2 linked regions of the Arabidopsis thaliana genome follow. The protein of the gene in region 1 interacts with the protein of each later gene in a pairwise test. Each region holds a gene or a part of one and is shown on either strand. Other genes may lie near its edges.

What was found.
Region 2: the proteins of AT3G58380 (region 1) and AT4G29930 interact in a two-hybrid assay, tested with the Arabidopsis thaliana proteins (one large-scale study listed by BioGRID).

Annotation. Positions count from the first base shown.
Region 1 is NC_003074.8:21,596,328-21,603,138, forward strand, and holds AT3G58380 (TRAF-like family protein), read right to left. Parts: upstream 3,282-6,811; 5' UTR 3,115-3,281; intron 2,888-3,114; 5' UTR 2,869-2,887; coding exon 2,762-2,868; intron 2,686-2,761; coding exon 2,525-2,685; intron 2,429-2,524; coding exon 2,187-2,428; intron 2,052-2,186; coding exon 1,638-2,051; 3' UTR 1,472-1,637; downstream 1-1,471. Other genes in the region: AT3G58370 (TRAF-like family protein), read right to left, coding at 1-16, 95-267, 423-583, 680-789; AT3G58390 (Eukaryotic release factor 1 (eRF1) family protein), read right to left, coding at 3,703-4,890; AT3G58400 (TRAF-like family protein), read right to left, coding at 6,340-6,744.
Region 2 is NC_003075.7:14,640,626-14,648,727, reverse strand, and holds AT4G29930 (basic helix-loop-helix (bHLH) DNA-binding superfamily protein), read right to left. Parts: upstream 4,735-8,102; 5' UTR 4,621-4,734; coding exon 4,541-4,620; intron 4,419-4,540; coding exon 4,253-4,418; intron 3,869-4,252; coding exon 3,611-3,868; coding exon of another isoform or gene 3,560-3,610; exon of another isoform or gene 3,511-3,559; coding exon 3,223-3,510; 3' UTR 1,369-3,222; downstream 1-1,368. Other genes in the region: PRHA (pathogenesis related homeodomain protein A), read left to right, coding at 128-382.

The sequences.
Region 1 (6,811 bases):
TTACTGGTGAAGTCTCGTTGAGAGAATCAAAAGACACTGCATCATTATCATCTAGCTTTATCTTTTTCAGAGGTTGGTTTGTCTCTTCAGATTCTTCTGATACATCTAACTTGCCAATAACTTCAAGATCATTTATCTCCACAACAATCTTGACTTCTCCGTTCACAAGATACCCAGCATTTTTGGCATGAAGGTTGGGAAGAGGGATCATAGATGTAAAACCCGAGCCAAGATTTCTTTGATTAAACCAATTTTGTTTCTCTGTTCACGAAATATATAGAAACTCTAATCCAAACAAGCAATAAAATTGCACAATGCATAACAAGAATCTTGCAGCAGCACAAAGCCACATGAGTGTCCATGACAAGTTGTAGAATCATAAAATATCCTTTATAATATAAAGTTTAGAAATAAAGAATTATCTCCTCGTTGGGAGAGTTTGTCCGTAAGTTGATTTATTATAGTTAAGGAGAATTGTGCATATCTTCTCCATCCACAAGGCAATGCTCTAGCATCATCAACCACCAGATACAGAGACAAACTATTATTAAATTTATTTCCCTTTGGATAGGCCAGAAGATGCCTGCAAACAAAAAGCAGTTGCAAAAAAAAGTGGATGTCCTCGTAAACCTAAATTGGACTAATACAGTTAGAAAAAAAGTTTTAGTTTCTTAAGTACCATTTGCAGCCACCAATCACAAATGGATCAGAATAAATTTTGTCATATTGCAAAGTGGAGAAATTCTTAATCACCCAAGTGAACTTGTTATCAACTTCTTCACTCTCCATTAAAGACTCCTCACAACCAAACTACCTTTAAAACAATGCCACACACCCAAATTCATGTTATATACCAAAGGAAACACATCTCGAGTAACAAAATAAAAACCAAAACCTAAAATTCCACTATGGACTCTAACTGACATGATATCCTCAACGCTAGTAATCTTAGCTTCCACATAAAGACGTCAAGGTCGAACCAAACGCTTTAAAAAAAACTAAACTCTACCTTAATGAGAAGAGACAATGAAAAGGGTTGTTCTAAGACAACAGTCAACGGAGACTAAGGGAAAAAAGGGTTTCAGACTCTGAACGCTTACATGAATGCAAATCAAATTTTATTAGGAAAGTGAATCACTTTTATATGGCTTAGGAAACATGACTTGAAAACTAGAGTAACTAATGTTGTATATAATTTAATGCATACTATAAATAATCAATAGTTTCCCCAACCATGGTGATTTACCAGGGATACTCTGTCTCTCTTGTTACTCAGTTTCCAAAATTTCCATATTCAAAAATTTAGATTGTATAATTTAAACACACTTTAGTTTGGATATGATCAAGGGTAGTTACTTGATACAGTTTAGCTCCTATATTCAAGGGATTGCATATATTTCATTTTCAAGGGATTAACTACTTCTTCTATGTTCTGCTTTGATTTATTGATTTCTTCTAGAAAACACATCTTAAACTTTTCTAAATTTAATGTTGGTTAAAGTAATTTAAAAAAAAAACACTTCAAGCGCACAATGCTTTAGCACAAAATGCCTAAGAAAGAACTCAAGACATCAACCTATAGAGGATCTCCACAAAATGTCTCTGCCTTATCAGAGGGCAGTTTTTCAAAGCCTTGTCTAAAACATCTTAAGAACATCATTGAACGAGAGAGGAACATTAGCGGTCAAGTCATTTGCTTTCTCCTTGTCTAGAATATCTTTCAGGTCTAAGCGTTTCTGATTGAGTTTCTGCAAATCTTCCTCTATTTGTTGCAGCCGAGCCTTACCATTATCCACATTCTTCTTCTTTTCCTTTACTTCCTTGAGCTTCTTCTCCAACCAATCCACTTTAAAGCCACCTTGTGACACGAATAAAACTGCAATGGATGCTTCATCCAGATCAGTATCAGAGAGCTCCGCAGGCAGTTGGCACAGCGTTTCAATTATTCCGAGGAGTACATTCATGTATAATGTCTTCAGACATGGTTTCATTGAAGGGACTTCTGATGCAATGTTTGGGTATATTTCAAATATACGCTTCACAGATTCTACCTGTGAAAGAAGAAGAAAAAAATATCATAAAAGCTTTAGAAGCCCTGAATACATACAGAAACATTTTGTACATCAGAGTATTTAAATACAGAAAACCACAAAGAAGTATACTCGCATTAATCTTAAGTTTCTTACCTGTGAAGGAAGAACTTGAAACCCATTGACATCAATGATTTGTTGAGTCTGTTTGAGTAAATCAATAGAGTTGGCACCATCATTATTTGATGTGCCAATAACTTCAAGAGAAACAACCTCAATAACAATTGTTATTTCTCGGCAAATCAGAAACCCTGCATCTCTTGCAAGAAGGTTGAAAGGGGGTGGTACTGTTGGATAACTACAAGCGGGAAGATTCTCATCAAAGTATAGGTCTGAATCTGTAGCATCACCACAAGTATTAAAACATCAATATCACATTAAAACTAATCTAAATCAGTCACTCATTTTGCAAAAAGTATAAATAGAAGAATAACCTGTCACAATGGAGCGTTTATGAGAAATTCCATTTACTATAGTTAAGCGAAGTTTTACATGTCTTCTCCATGAAGAAGTCAGTGATTGACAAGAATCAGCAACCCCCATGTATTGATAGAAGAACTCATAGTTAGTTCCCTTTGGTAAGGCTAGAAGACGCCTACAAAAAAAATCAAATCACCAGAACATAATTAGATGAAAAGTACGTTTGGAACAAAAGTTGGTTCAGTTTTTACCATCTACTGCCAGCAATCAGAAAGGGATCAGAATGACTCTGCTTAGGATAAAAAACGTTGAGATCCTTTATCACCCAGACAAATTTCTTGTCAACTTCCTTCTCCATTATATTACTCGCAATGAAACTACAACAGCATGAAGAGAATTAAACCAAATTCATGTACCTACCAATCAAAGTATCAAACACACACACTCTCCAACAAATTCTTTCTTAGTTTAACAAAGATTTTACTATGAACTCAAAGACATATGAAGTTTCAGCCAGCAGTTTAAACTACTTAAAACTAGTTGACCGTAGTTGAGGAAAAGAAATATTCTAAGACATGCAAGATTAAGGGAATAAAGCGATTACCCTTGAGAGGCGAGTTGAAAGAGAAACAGCGACTCAGAAGTCAGAACTCGTACCCACTTTGTCCAAGTTAGTCCAAGTTTGTCAGAGCTACGAACCCAATCCAAAAACCAAATTACTTGGATCGAATAGTTCAAAAACGAGATTCAACCATTTTTATAACATTAATCCTCTAAACCAAAAAAAGGGAGATATCCAATTCCAATAAGGAAAGAAACTAAAATCCCTTCTTTGGAATTGACTTTTCCAATAAGGAAAGAAACTTGGACTTGAGATTCTGTTTCCTTTTTTCTTGGTGAATAGACCTTCCAAGGCTTTTTAGGTCCTTTTGTGTTAAAGAGAGGAACAGGATGCCAAACGTTTTCAAAAGGGGTTGCCAATTTCTTTTTTGATTTTTTTTTTTTTAGTAAAGGATACAGATTTTTACAGTAAACTTAGGAAATATTTGTTTAATTTAATGAAGATAACTGACGCTTTTATATATATAATCTTGCAACAATTTGTTCAAGTCATACCCTTACAAAACAAGTAACTAAATATTAGAGCAGAAGTGAATAAAAGAACCTAAAAGATTTTCTTAGAAATACTATGTTACATCTCAATGTCTTCTAGATCTGGTAAAGGGAACCTAAGAATAGCTGCAATTCCAGTATGCTGTGCTAGTTGTTCCCCTGAAGCATGCATTGACGAAAATATAAAAACCTCTCCTCCTGAATCTTTCACCGACTCCACAAAATCCACATACTTCTTCCTTGTTTTCACGTCAGAGTTCCTAAATAGCCCATCTATAATGAGAAGTGTTTGGATTGCCATTCGTTCATGAGCAACTTCCACATGTTTTGGTCCATAACATGCTCTATTTGGATCATTCGAAAACATGGTGAAGAAATCGTTGAGAGCTTTGACCTCTTTTGCTGCTTTAGTATCTTTGATCATATTCATCACGTTAGGGTCATGCAAAACCTCGCTTAGGCTATGTTTATATCCTGAGTTTGTGTGCACCAGAATGAAACGTGATTTGTTCTCAAGAATAGGTCTCAACTGTCTTCTCTCTGCTTCCAACAATAGGTGGCGATGAAACTGATCTTTTGTAAACCCGGGACTTGCAATCACTGCGCATCGAACCACACTGAAGTCAACGTGTTTCAGAAAGGCTTGCACAACATTCTCAAAGAATTTCTTCAAAACTGACTCGTAACCAGCCGTTCCAGCTCCATGCTTCCAAGGAATCGATGTTTTTATTCGTGCACCGCAACTTTTTACACTTTTGCCGGCAAGGAAGATTTGTGCCAGTCCTTCTTGCATTAGAACTACAGCTAAATCAGCACTAGCTGCAAGATCTGAGGCCTGCTTGAGTGTATCAAGAGCCAGTGAGTCCCAATTTTCCTTTCTCAATAAAAAAGGTCGTTTAAGCTCAATCTCCAAAGTATGGAATGCACCAATCCTTACATGCTCGTTCTCCATGATATTCTTCCCGCGTATGCGCATAACATCGCCGTCTTTGTCATAGTCCACCTCCTCAACTTGTACTTCTAGCTTAAGTTTAACACGTTCAGTCCGGGTGAAAGATCTTTTCTTTCCAAGGTATTTGCTTTCTATTCGACTTAGCGATGGAGTCGAGTCTCTTCCTTCACCACCAACTTTTCTGAAAGTGATAGCCATTACACTATCCTCCGGGCCAATCAGGTTATAAGTATACCAGAGATCATCCGAGTCCTCTGCCATCATCTTAACGCTTCCGGGTCCATTACGAACAAAATCCTTGCGAATGATTTTCATCTTTCAGGATTTTTGAAGGTATTTTCCACTAACAGAATCTGAAGAATAAACTGTCGATCGGAAATTGTGGTAGGGAATGAAGAACAATCAATCGCTCTGACAAGAAGAGAAGAAAAAATAAAAACTTAAAGTAAACTTTTGCTTAAATTAAGCTGTTATTGATCTGAAGAAATAGACTTGATCTCCTGAGATATACATATTTATAGCTAGCTATAAAGCTTACATAAGTCGTCTAGGAAAACTAGGAAACGTATTTTCCTTTTCTACATTGTTAAGTATTGGGGATAGAGATTAATCTCATTAGGATTATTCCTATATATCTTCTGATTATGTCCTATATTTTAGGGACTAGAGTATATCTTATACGATGTCTCTCTTGTATAAATATTATACTTTGTGAATCAATAAAATCAAGTTAGTGCAATATCTAATTCTACATAGTTTCTTTATTTCATTAGAGCATCCTTATCCATAGGTTGTTAACAATATCATAAGAACTATTAAAATATTATATTAAACAAAATAAGAATAAAAAAATTAAAAAAAAGTATACTTAAGAGATGAAAAATGGCTCTTAGCTAAAAGTTTTTAGATACATTCTCTCTAGCCTTTTTAATATTTAAACATTATTTTGTATATATCAAAATTGTTTATAATTCTATGTAAGAGTCGATTGATAAAGATGGTCTAATTTCCTTTTCTTAATTTTTGACGTAAATTAATCAAAATCACGTGCTGCTCACATGTTGTTCTTACTATTTTGCTCACTTCTTGTTGTTCTTAGGATATCTTTCGAAATCATTGGAAGATATGACACAATTTGAATGGATATTAATCATCATCATTTCCTAAATCTTTTTCGGTAGTTTGTATGAGATTAGAAGCGGCTACTTATTATCTTGATAAGGTTAATATAAAAATAGACATAAAAAGAGAAAAATGGAGGAGAAACATAATGGTTTAGCACAATCGAAAATAGAGTACTACTCTGTTTCTCACTTGATCCTTCACTTTCACTCCATCTCCTTTTCTCAAATCCTTCCTCATGTTTTTGCAGCACCACTATTCAAGCCTTAAATCTCATGACGGTAGAGAAAAATGGAAGTTATGATCCAAGCTTAGTGATTTCCCACTTACTCAACAAAAGAGCCATGTTTTTGGATATGAGAGCGAGAATGTGAGATTAGTCAAGAAACTTAAAATATTTGTCCACTTGTTTTATGGTGATTAGTCTTGTCACTCTCAAAACACATTACTTTAACAGCAAGAAACTCAATATTTTCTAGAAGAAACCTAGAACTTCCTCTTGAAAACATTGTTGAAAATTTCCAAGATATGTCTCTTTTATCTTCCTTAAGTTTTAAGAAGACTATCATTACGAACCTATAAACGAACAGACCAGCACACTAAGCAGAACCAACCTCCAAGTGTCCTAAAAACACAAGAACATCAAACAACATCATCGAATGAGAGATGAGCTTTTGCAGCCGACACCTTGGCTTTCTCTTCCTCCACTAGCGCTTCCATTTTTGAACACTTGAGCTTCAAGTCCTTCAACTTTTCCTCCATTTCTCGTAGCCGAGTCTCACCAGCTTCATCATCCTCCTTCTTTTGTGCCACCTCATAAAGTTTGTTCTCCAACCAATCCAACTTAAACCCTGCATTTTTCATACATCCAATTGCAATATATACGTCACACAAATCATCCTTGGAGAGTTCTTGAGGTGACTGAGATAAAGTCTCAATCAGACTGAGTAGCAAACTCATGTAACCAGTCCTAAGACTTGAGTTCTTTGGGTGGATTTCAGATGCAATCTCTGGGTGTCTTTCAAAAATATGGCTAACAGATTTTGCCTGCCAAATGAAAATACAAGTATAAATTCGCATCCCTATTCAAAGACAGTTTAGGAGACATGCACCT
Region 2 (8,102 bases), on another chromosome or scaffold:
AATGAGTTTATTGAACATATCTATATTAAAGAAACCATGATCAAGTATCGCTTCCATGAATTTGGTTTGACAAGTGGTTTTAGACAATTGTAGATTTTTAAAGTTTATTTGTTCTTATTGTGTTCAGTCACATGAAGAGCTAAGCAACGAAATGAGCTTAGAAGAGAAGGAGACGGGGAGAAAGATGACGGAAGAGGAAGAATTGGAAGCAGTAATGGAGATGCTTTGTAGAACAGAAAACAAGTTACTGGACGTGACGCAGAGGCTTGATAGATTTAAAACACCAAAAGGCCGAAAAAAGTTAGGCAATTCTTCTTCTCCTTTACTTGAAGAAGACTCAGTAGTGTATGTTCCAATAGCAGAGATCAAGGAGAAAAGGTAACAATATATATATATATATCAAGAAAAGAAAAAAGTCCTTTGCAGAAGTTTTGGTATTGTTAGATTCTTTTGGAACGTAGTCTAAGAGAGTACCTAATGTAGTTTTGTGTATTATTCAGTTTGTATGTGTCATTTAAACTTCAGATAAAATCCCCCAGAAAAAAATAAAACTGGGATTTTTTTTTTAATGGAACTTTTTAGCTCTCTTTTTTGAATTATGTACATTTCGTTTTTTATTCTCTTTTTTTTTTTAATTCCCTTTTTCCAAATAACTTTGGCTTTTAATTTTAGTTTAAAAAATAATAAAGCTGAAAGATTTAGGTTCTTACAGATAGAGTAAGATTGGCAACTATATTTTTAGTTTCAACCAAGTAATAATCATAGAAAGATGATGGTTATAGAGAAAGCTTTTAGACCGAGTGTATATAGCGGTAAGAATAAATTGTTTACAAATCTGCAATTATCTGAACATAACTCCTTAACAAAGCCTACTGTCACTTTTATGAGTTTACTAAACATTTGTTGCCTAACTTTACAGATCAAATTGAAACAAATGGCAAGTCTCTCTATTTTGCAACTTACAATATGCATTTGATTCATGTTCATCAATTCAAAGACAAAGTATCCACAAAATCTTTTATAAAGTCATATTTGCTTTTTTAGTTTAACCATATTTCTTTATGTTTTTTTCTTCTTATACTCGGTTATGATTGCAATTAATTCAAATGATTTTTTTAGAAGTATAATTTTTAAGATTATAAGAAGGAACATGCATATTTTTGTTTTATTTTATTAGAAAACATCGGATGTTTTGTAGCTCAAACAAATAAACCCTCACAATAGTAGCTCTTCACATATATTGCATAAAACGGATTTAAGTAAAAAACCAGAAGTAAATTAGAAGTTGATAAGACAATTTGGATCATTATAAGCTGCGATGGCCATCTGTATCTTGGCCTCTACTGCACTGCTTTCTTCTTCATCCGCCTGCAAATTCAACGATTTACTATAATTAATACATCTATCACAATATAAACTAAAACAGTCCTATATTATTTCAATCATACGATATCTTTACAGAATTTTGAAGTAAATTAGGATTCTAGGAAGTCCAACGTCAGTATAGATTATTAAAATTAGGGGTGTTTAGGTTTTACACGAATCAGACAAAAAAAACTTCTTTTTTTTTGGCAGCACGTAAAAAGAAAATTAGAACTGATAAATTTGTGTATATACACCTGCACGCATTACTACTATAATTATTTCCCGTGGAAAATGAGATTGGTGGATAAATCATTGTTTAATGTTTTTGTATAATCTTTAAAAGGACGGATAAGGACAGGTTTGAAATGAAATGATCGACTTTTTATTTGATAAATGATTGGAGTATGATTTCACCAACTCTCAATGACTCCACTGGTCTATACCTCACTGTAATTTTAGCGTCTGATTATATTATCTTTTATCAAGAAAATGTTATAAAGGTGCATAATTCTTTTTTGTCAAAGAAAACCAACATAATATTATATTCATTTGTGAGGCAAGAAATACTCGTATTTGTTGTCATCAAAAATTTCCAACCTACAGCTTATAATATAATTACCTTTTTCAAAAAAAATAGAACGTTAGTTCACGAAACTAGCATTTTTGTAATTAGATTGTTTACACCAAAGTCCTAGTATATGATGATGATAAACAAATCAAATAGATAGAGATAATGAAATGAATTTGTATTTTTTAGAGTAAAAACACAAAATAATAACTCTTAACAAATCTGCTTATATTAAAAAGGACCAAACCTTAATTTCTACCATGAACTGCTATGGATATCATTTGGAGTAACTAATTTTTACCAAAATGATTAGCATAATGAAGACCTTATGAACCATATACAACTAGTTAACACAAATAACTTGCTAATTGGCTACAGTTGATTTGTAGCCTATTGTTAATTTGAGTTAAGAATTGATATAAGGTGTAGTGCTAGAAAAGTCACGTGCTAAAAGTGTGAAAGAGACAAACGTTGAACCGCGTGAGGTTATAAATTAGCCACGTTTTTCTAGTGCTACTATGCTTGGACGGCACTTTCTGGGACACGAGGCACTTGAGATTTCACACACTAATTTTTTGATTAAGTTAATCCTAATTTTTTATGGAATATGACATTTAACTTTTGAGAGAATCTAACCCTATCAGAAAAAGTCAAGGCGAAATTCGAAAAAAATGTGATGGGCTCGAGGCAACCTCAATAATTGGAGCTTTAATTGATTGATTAAGATATTACTGACTATATATACTTAAGGTGTAATGTGAATTAAGGTCCACTTAATGGAGACAGGTGGGAGAAAAGTAGTAATTAAATGGGTCCGTCTAAAGGTTATCCTTTTGAATTTGATAGTGATTTTCCAAACAATTCGTAAGTTTGAATTACATTTTTGTACTATTACGTAAAGATAACATATTTTCTTTACCAAAACAAAAGAACAATCCACTTTACTAAAGCACTTAGTCATATGCTTTTTATTCATATTATTAATTCTTGTCCACTAAAGGATTTGTCTACGTGCCGTCAGACGACCATTTTTCTCCCAAAATAACCAAAAAGAAAAGAAAATAGTAAGATTTGAATTTGGTATATAAAAGTCTGAATAGTTGCGACAAATTAAAAATGGACAAATATATTTGGTTGGTGTGTTTTATAGTCCGACAAGTGCATAAAACTAATTTTATAGCTGATTACAATTGATCTAACATTCTTTATTAGCAAGAATCTTCTAAACTATATTATCATCTCTTTCCATTAACATTTTATAATTTCGCTCCATGAGTGCAAAATGAGCGTCAAACCAAAACAAGACACGTACAGTATTCTCTAGATGCATTTAGAATTTTGTAGTTTGTACTAGTAATCACATTGCCAAATAAAGATATGAGAGAGGGAGAGAGGGAGAGAGTGACCTGGAGGAAGAGGGTGGTGGAGAGACGAGAGGTGAAGGAAGAGAAGTTAGTAGTGAGAATGTTGAGATTCAAAGACTCCAACACTTTACAAAGCTGCACCATTGTCTCTCTTTTCTTGCTACATGTTATGCATACCACTACCGTCTTCTCTCCCATCCATGTCACTTTCATCTGTTTTTTCATGTTTATATAAAAACAATTTGGAATAATTAACTTTACCTCAAAAGAAAGGTAATTTAGAATGTACTGCCAAATAATGCATAGTACGTACTTCGAGAACTTCAATGGGGTAGTGTTGTACTCTAGTACTGTAATCCATCTGCTTAAACTTTTTTGATCTCATGTCATTATTGTCTGAGAAATCTTGCAGATGAGTTTCCGCAAAATTGCAATCGTAATCTCTTACCGGATTTTCTAGCAATGTTGACCGTGATTCTAGCTCTCTGATCTCTGCTTCTAGAGTCTTCTCTTGATCAATAAGTTCTTGCATATAGTCGATAGAATCTTTGATGACAGATGCCTTGTCCAACTAAAAATAGATAAATATTAATACTTCAATAAAATCCAGTCTTAATCAACAAATCATCACACGTATACAATTATATGCTATCAGGGTAATTAGGGGACCAAAATACATTTTAGTATGGCTTGATATGGATTTAGAGTATCAAAAATTTGGTTTGCTTATTTGTTTAATGTTGGTTGGATTTGGTTTAACCAGATTGTATTTGTATAGTTTTATTTCTTTACAAAAGAAAGAAGAGAAAGTTTATTCGCTTATTTAATTTCTGTTGACCAAAACAAAAATTGCTGGTGACGAAACTTTATTACTAAATTATTTGGATAACAAATTAAATTTAAAAGAGACAGTTGATTAAACAAATAAGAGAAGTAATGGAATAATTAATCATACCTTGCTTATATTGGGAACAACTGACCGGAGAGCAAAAAGTCTCTGATTAAGCTTTTGCCGTCTGTTTCTCTCGGAGACAACGTTCTTCGAAGAAGCCGGCGACGTTGCCGCTCCGTCTGGCGAACTCGACTCGCCGGAACCCGAAAACGCTTCCTCCATCGGCCAACTTAAATTTTATAATTTATAACAATTTTCATTAATTACCAACTAAAGCAAGATTAATCTTTATCGGAAAAAAAAACTAAAGAAACAAAAAAAAAAAAAATGGACCAAGATTCTAGTAAGCACCTGTCAAATTCGAGTTCTTGATTCTGGAAGAACATTGTGGTTTCCCAGTAATTCTTGTACTCATGGTCGAGATCTTCCATTTTTCGGACACACAAAGATGATGCTTTCTTGAAATGGAAGGTTTTGTTATTTCTGTTTGTCCTTTCTTTCTTTCTTTGTGTCTTTCTATTGAGTGTACTATCAAAACAAGAGTGGGCCGAGGATTTTATACATAAAGAGTCTGACAGAGAGTTTTTAAGCACGTGGGATCTTAATCTCCTGAAATAATTATATACGATCTTGACCGTTCAATTCAGAGATCAAAATCTGTTTCCTTTTGTCCAATTGAAAAACAAAGAAAAGAGTGTATCGTATCTATCTCTTTCACTCACAATATGCATTATTCATATACTCAAATGGGTATAGACCGTATAGTACTTGAATTTAGGGCGTGTTCAATTCCAATTTCATTTTATTTTTGTGAGGTACTAGAAGAGTATCTGAGTATAAATGCAAAATTCTGTTCTTGTAGATATTAATCATTTGTTTTTCTTCTAATTTCGATCCTTAAAGTTAGAAGATGATGTCTAAGTAAGGAAAGAAGATACGTACTAGGTTTTTTTTAAACAAAAATAAAAGATACGTAGTTTCAGAATTCAAAGATTTAAACATAGGTAGACATCGTGGCTATGTGTATGCGTACGTAATGATTATGGCCAATAATGGTGATGATTAGTTGATTGTCAACTTTTTTTGCTAAATTTTATTGAAAATATAACCCACTTGGGTCCAGGATATTCTTTCATGTCCCTTGATTTGAATGCAGTAAATCTATGTTTTCTTCTATTATTTGTGGATATATATTTTCTTCTGATTTTTGAGTGTCTATATATTTATAAAATTCCATCTTCTTTAGATACTGTTATGAAATAAGTTGAGATATATGATTTTAACAAAGTAAGCTATAACCACGGACTTATCTAGCAATATTAAACACAAAATGTGACTGAAAAGCGAAATAATGTGGGGGTGATCCAAAATCTAAAGTATATAAAAATCAAATATCATAGACAGAAAATATTCATAGAATTAGATAATATAGCATATGCAATTTTATTCTACTGAATTGTAACTAAAGAAATATTGATTATTTAATGGTGTCAACTGAATTAAAAGTTGTGAAACGATTCGTAAAACTCTATTTATGATGGTGGAAATATTTTTTTCAATGGTTATGTATCATACATTTGAGTTCTCAGTTCTTTCAAGAATTTGTAAAACGTGGAAAGACATCAAGAAAACTGAAGACGGTCACTAAATCATACAACATACACATACTAAACAATACAACTAGTTCCACATTAATCCATTATACTCAAACTAAATCTAGTATCTATCTTATGAACTAAAAAAAAATCTAGTGTCTATCAATATGGAAAGGTTTTTACTTATATCGGCTTTGCTCCATACCCCGTGATTTTATTCAGAACTTTTAATCTGGATTAGAAATCCGAAAATACTGAGTTTGAGAAACAAATCGAAAAAAGTAAAAACTGTTTTCTCAAATCATTCGTCTCTCACTTACTAAACTCTTGAGAAAATGTGTAGGAAAAAGTTGTATTTTAATTGTATGAAATGAACAGTGTTTCGTTCCTTATGATATTGTTTTCACATTACTAAAGTCGTGGCTTGGATGGCCCAACATGATCTTGGTGATCAAAGATGATTATAATAAAATTATTTGCTAAATAAAATTATTTAACGTACTTATGTATGCTACCACGTGTATGGAGGATAGTGTATGATATGACTTGATATGGTTTTGGTTAAGAATTCATTAAAAGTCTTAATATTTAATTTATTTTGTATGCATAATCGTATTTCCTTTTGTTTATTAGGCTAATTAAAAGCTGTTCTATCTATAATCTTTGGAAGATTCATAAATTTTGATGACTCACCCACCTTGCAATTGCAAATGTATGGAATTGATTATATTGGGTCCAAATGACAACTAAACATTCCCAATATTGTCGGAGTCTAATTCTTTCGTTTCTTATTAAATATGAGGAAGTGTTTCTAGAAGAGTAAGAAGAAAATCGCAGTTCAATTTTGAAATCTACTTTTGTAGTAGAAAGCTGTATAAACAACATCCGTTCACGTTAGCTAGAATACGAAAAAATGTAACGAGTATTGAAACTCCGGTTCAATCTTACGTTACGATATCGGTTAACCAACTTCGACGACTTAAACCCATTCATCAAACAAAATGAACAAAATATGCCGATATGAGAGAAAGTAATTCGACTAAAATTCATTATTTATTTCAAAACATGCAAGAAACTTATTGGGCTGAAAAAACACATGTTGGGCTGAAGGCACGGATTGAACAGAGATATATTTTGAGTTCGGCCCAGACAAAGATGCTTAATGGTTTAGCCCGTTTGAATGTTCCAAAATTTAGTCTTGACTCTTCTTAAGTGTGTGAAGAAAAATGGTGTAAATTGTAATTTCAGTCATTTATGTAAAGTTTTGAAAATTTTCCATGTGGCCTTTTAAGTTTACAAATACAAAATAAATTTATTTAAAACTGGAAGCACGTTTAGATGAATATATAAATCAACAATAAACGAAAACGCAACATATACAAAAAAAAATAAAATAAAAAACAGCAAAGTAATTTACAACGTCCAAACAAAAATTACCAAAGAAAGTTTCCATAATTAATTACATAGAAGCTTTTTATTTTTGTTTCTTGTTCTATCTATCATAATATAACATGTAAATAATGAAGAAACTCCATCATAATATAGCGTCGTATCCTAACAAGAATTGAATAGCTACTGAAGAAATTCCATCATAACATAATATGTAAGTATTTTCTATGGCCAATCAAGTCTAGTCATAGGCTATAATTTTGGAGTAAAGTAACTATGATATTTTCTTTTTTTTTTGTCAAAGAACTATGATATTTATTTTCTTTCTAGTCGACAGTTAGGAATATAAAGAATCACTTGCGACGTATTGAGTTATTTATTTGTCTTGTGATGGAAGTAAAGAAACATTCGTTCAACAGTACCCAACAAAAGACAAATATAAAAGTGAATGACAATAAAATTTGTTAAAAAGAAAGAGCTTAATTATTCCTCTTTGACCGATCCTCTCCAATGATTTGTTCCGTTTTTCGTTTCCCTTTTTAATTTTCCTTTTTATATATAATTTTTTTATCAAACTATAGGCAGTTTGGTAACAACTAAATAAAATCATATTTTGGGCATTAATTTTTGTGCCAATCTTTGTTAAAAAGAAATTCGACTAGCAACTAATATTTACGTTTAAAAATATGTTAACCTCTTAGAGGTTTTAAAATATATATACATATTTGTTAACCTCATAGAAATTGGATTATTGTTTTCACTGTAAGCTTATCCTTCTGCAAAAAATCATTTATCACTAAGTATGAGACATAGATATACGGAGATACACATTACACAGCAAAGGTGACACTAATAAATAGATAATAAAGTTAATATTCCCAATATAAACAAAACTAAAGATACGTATATGATCTTTAGTTTTGGATACG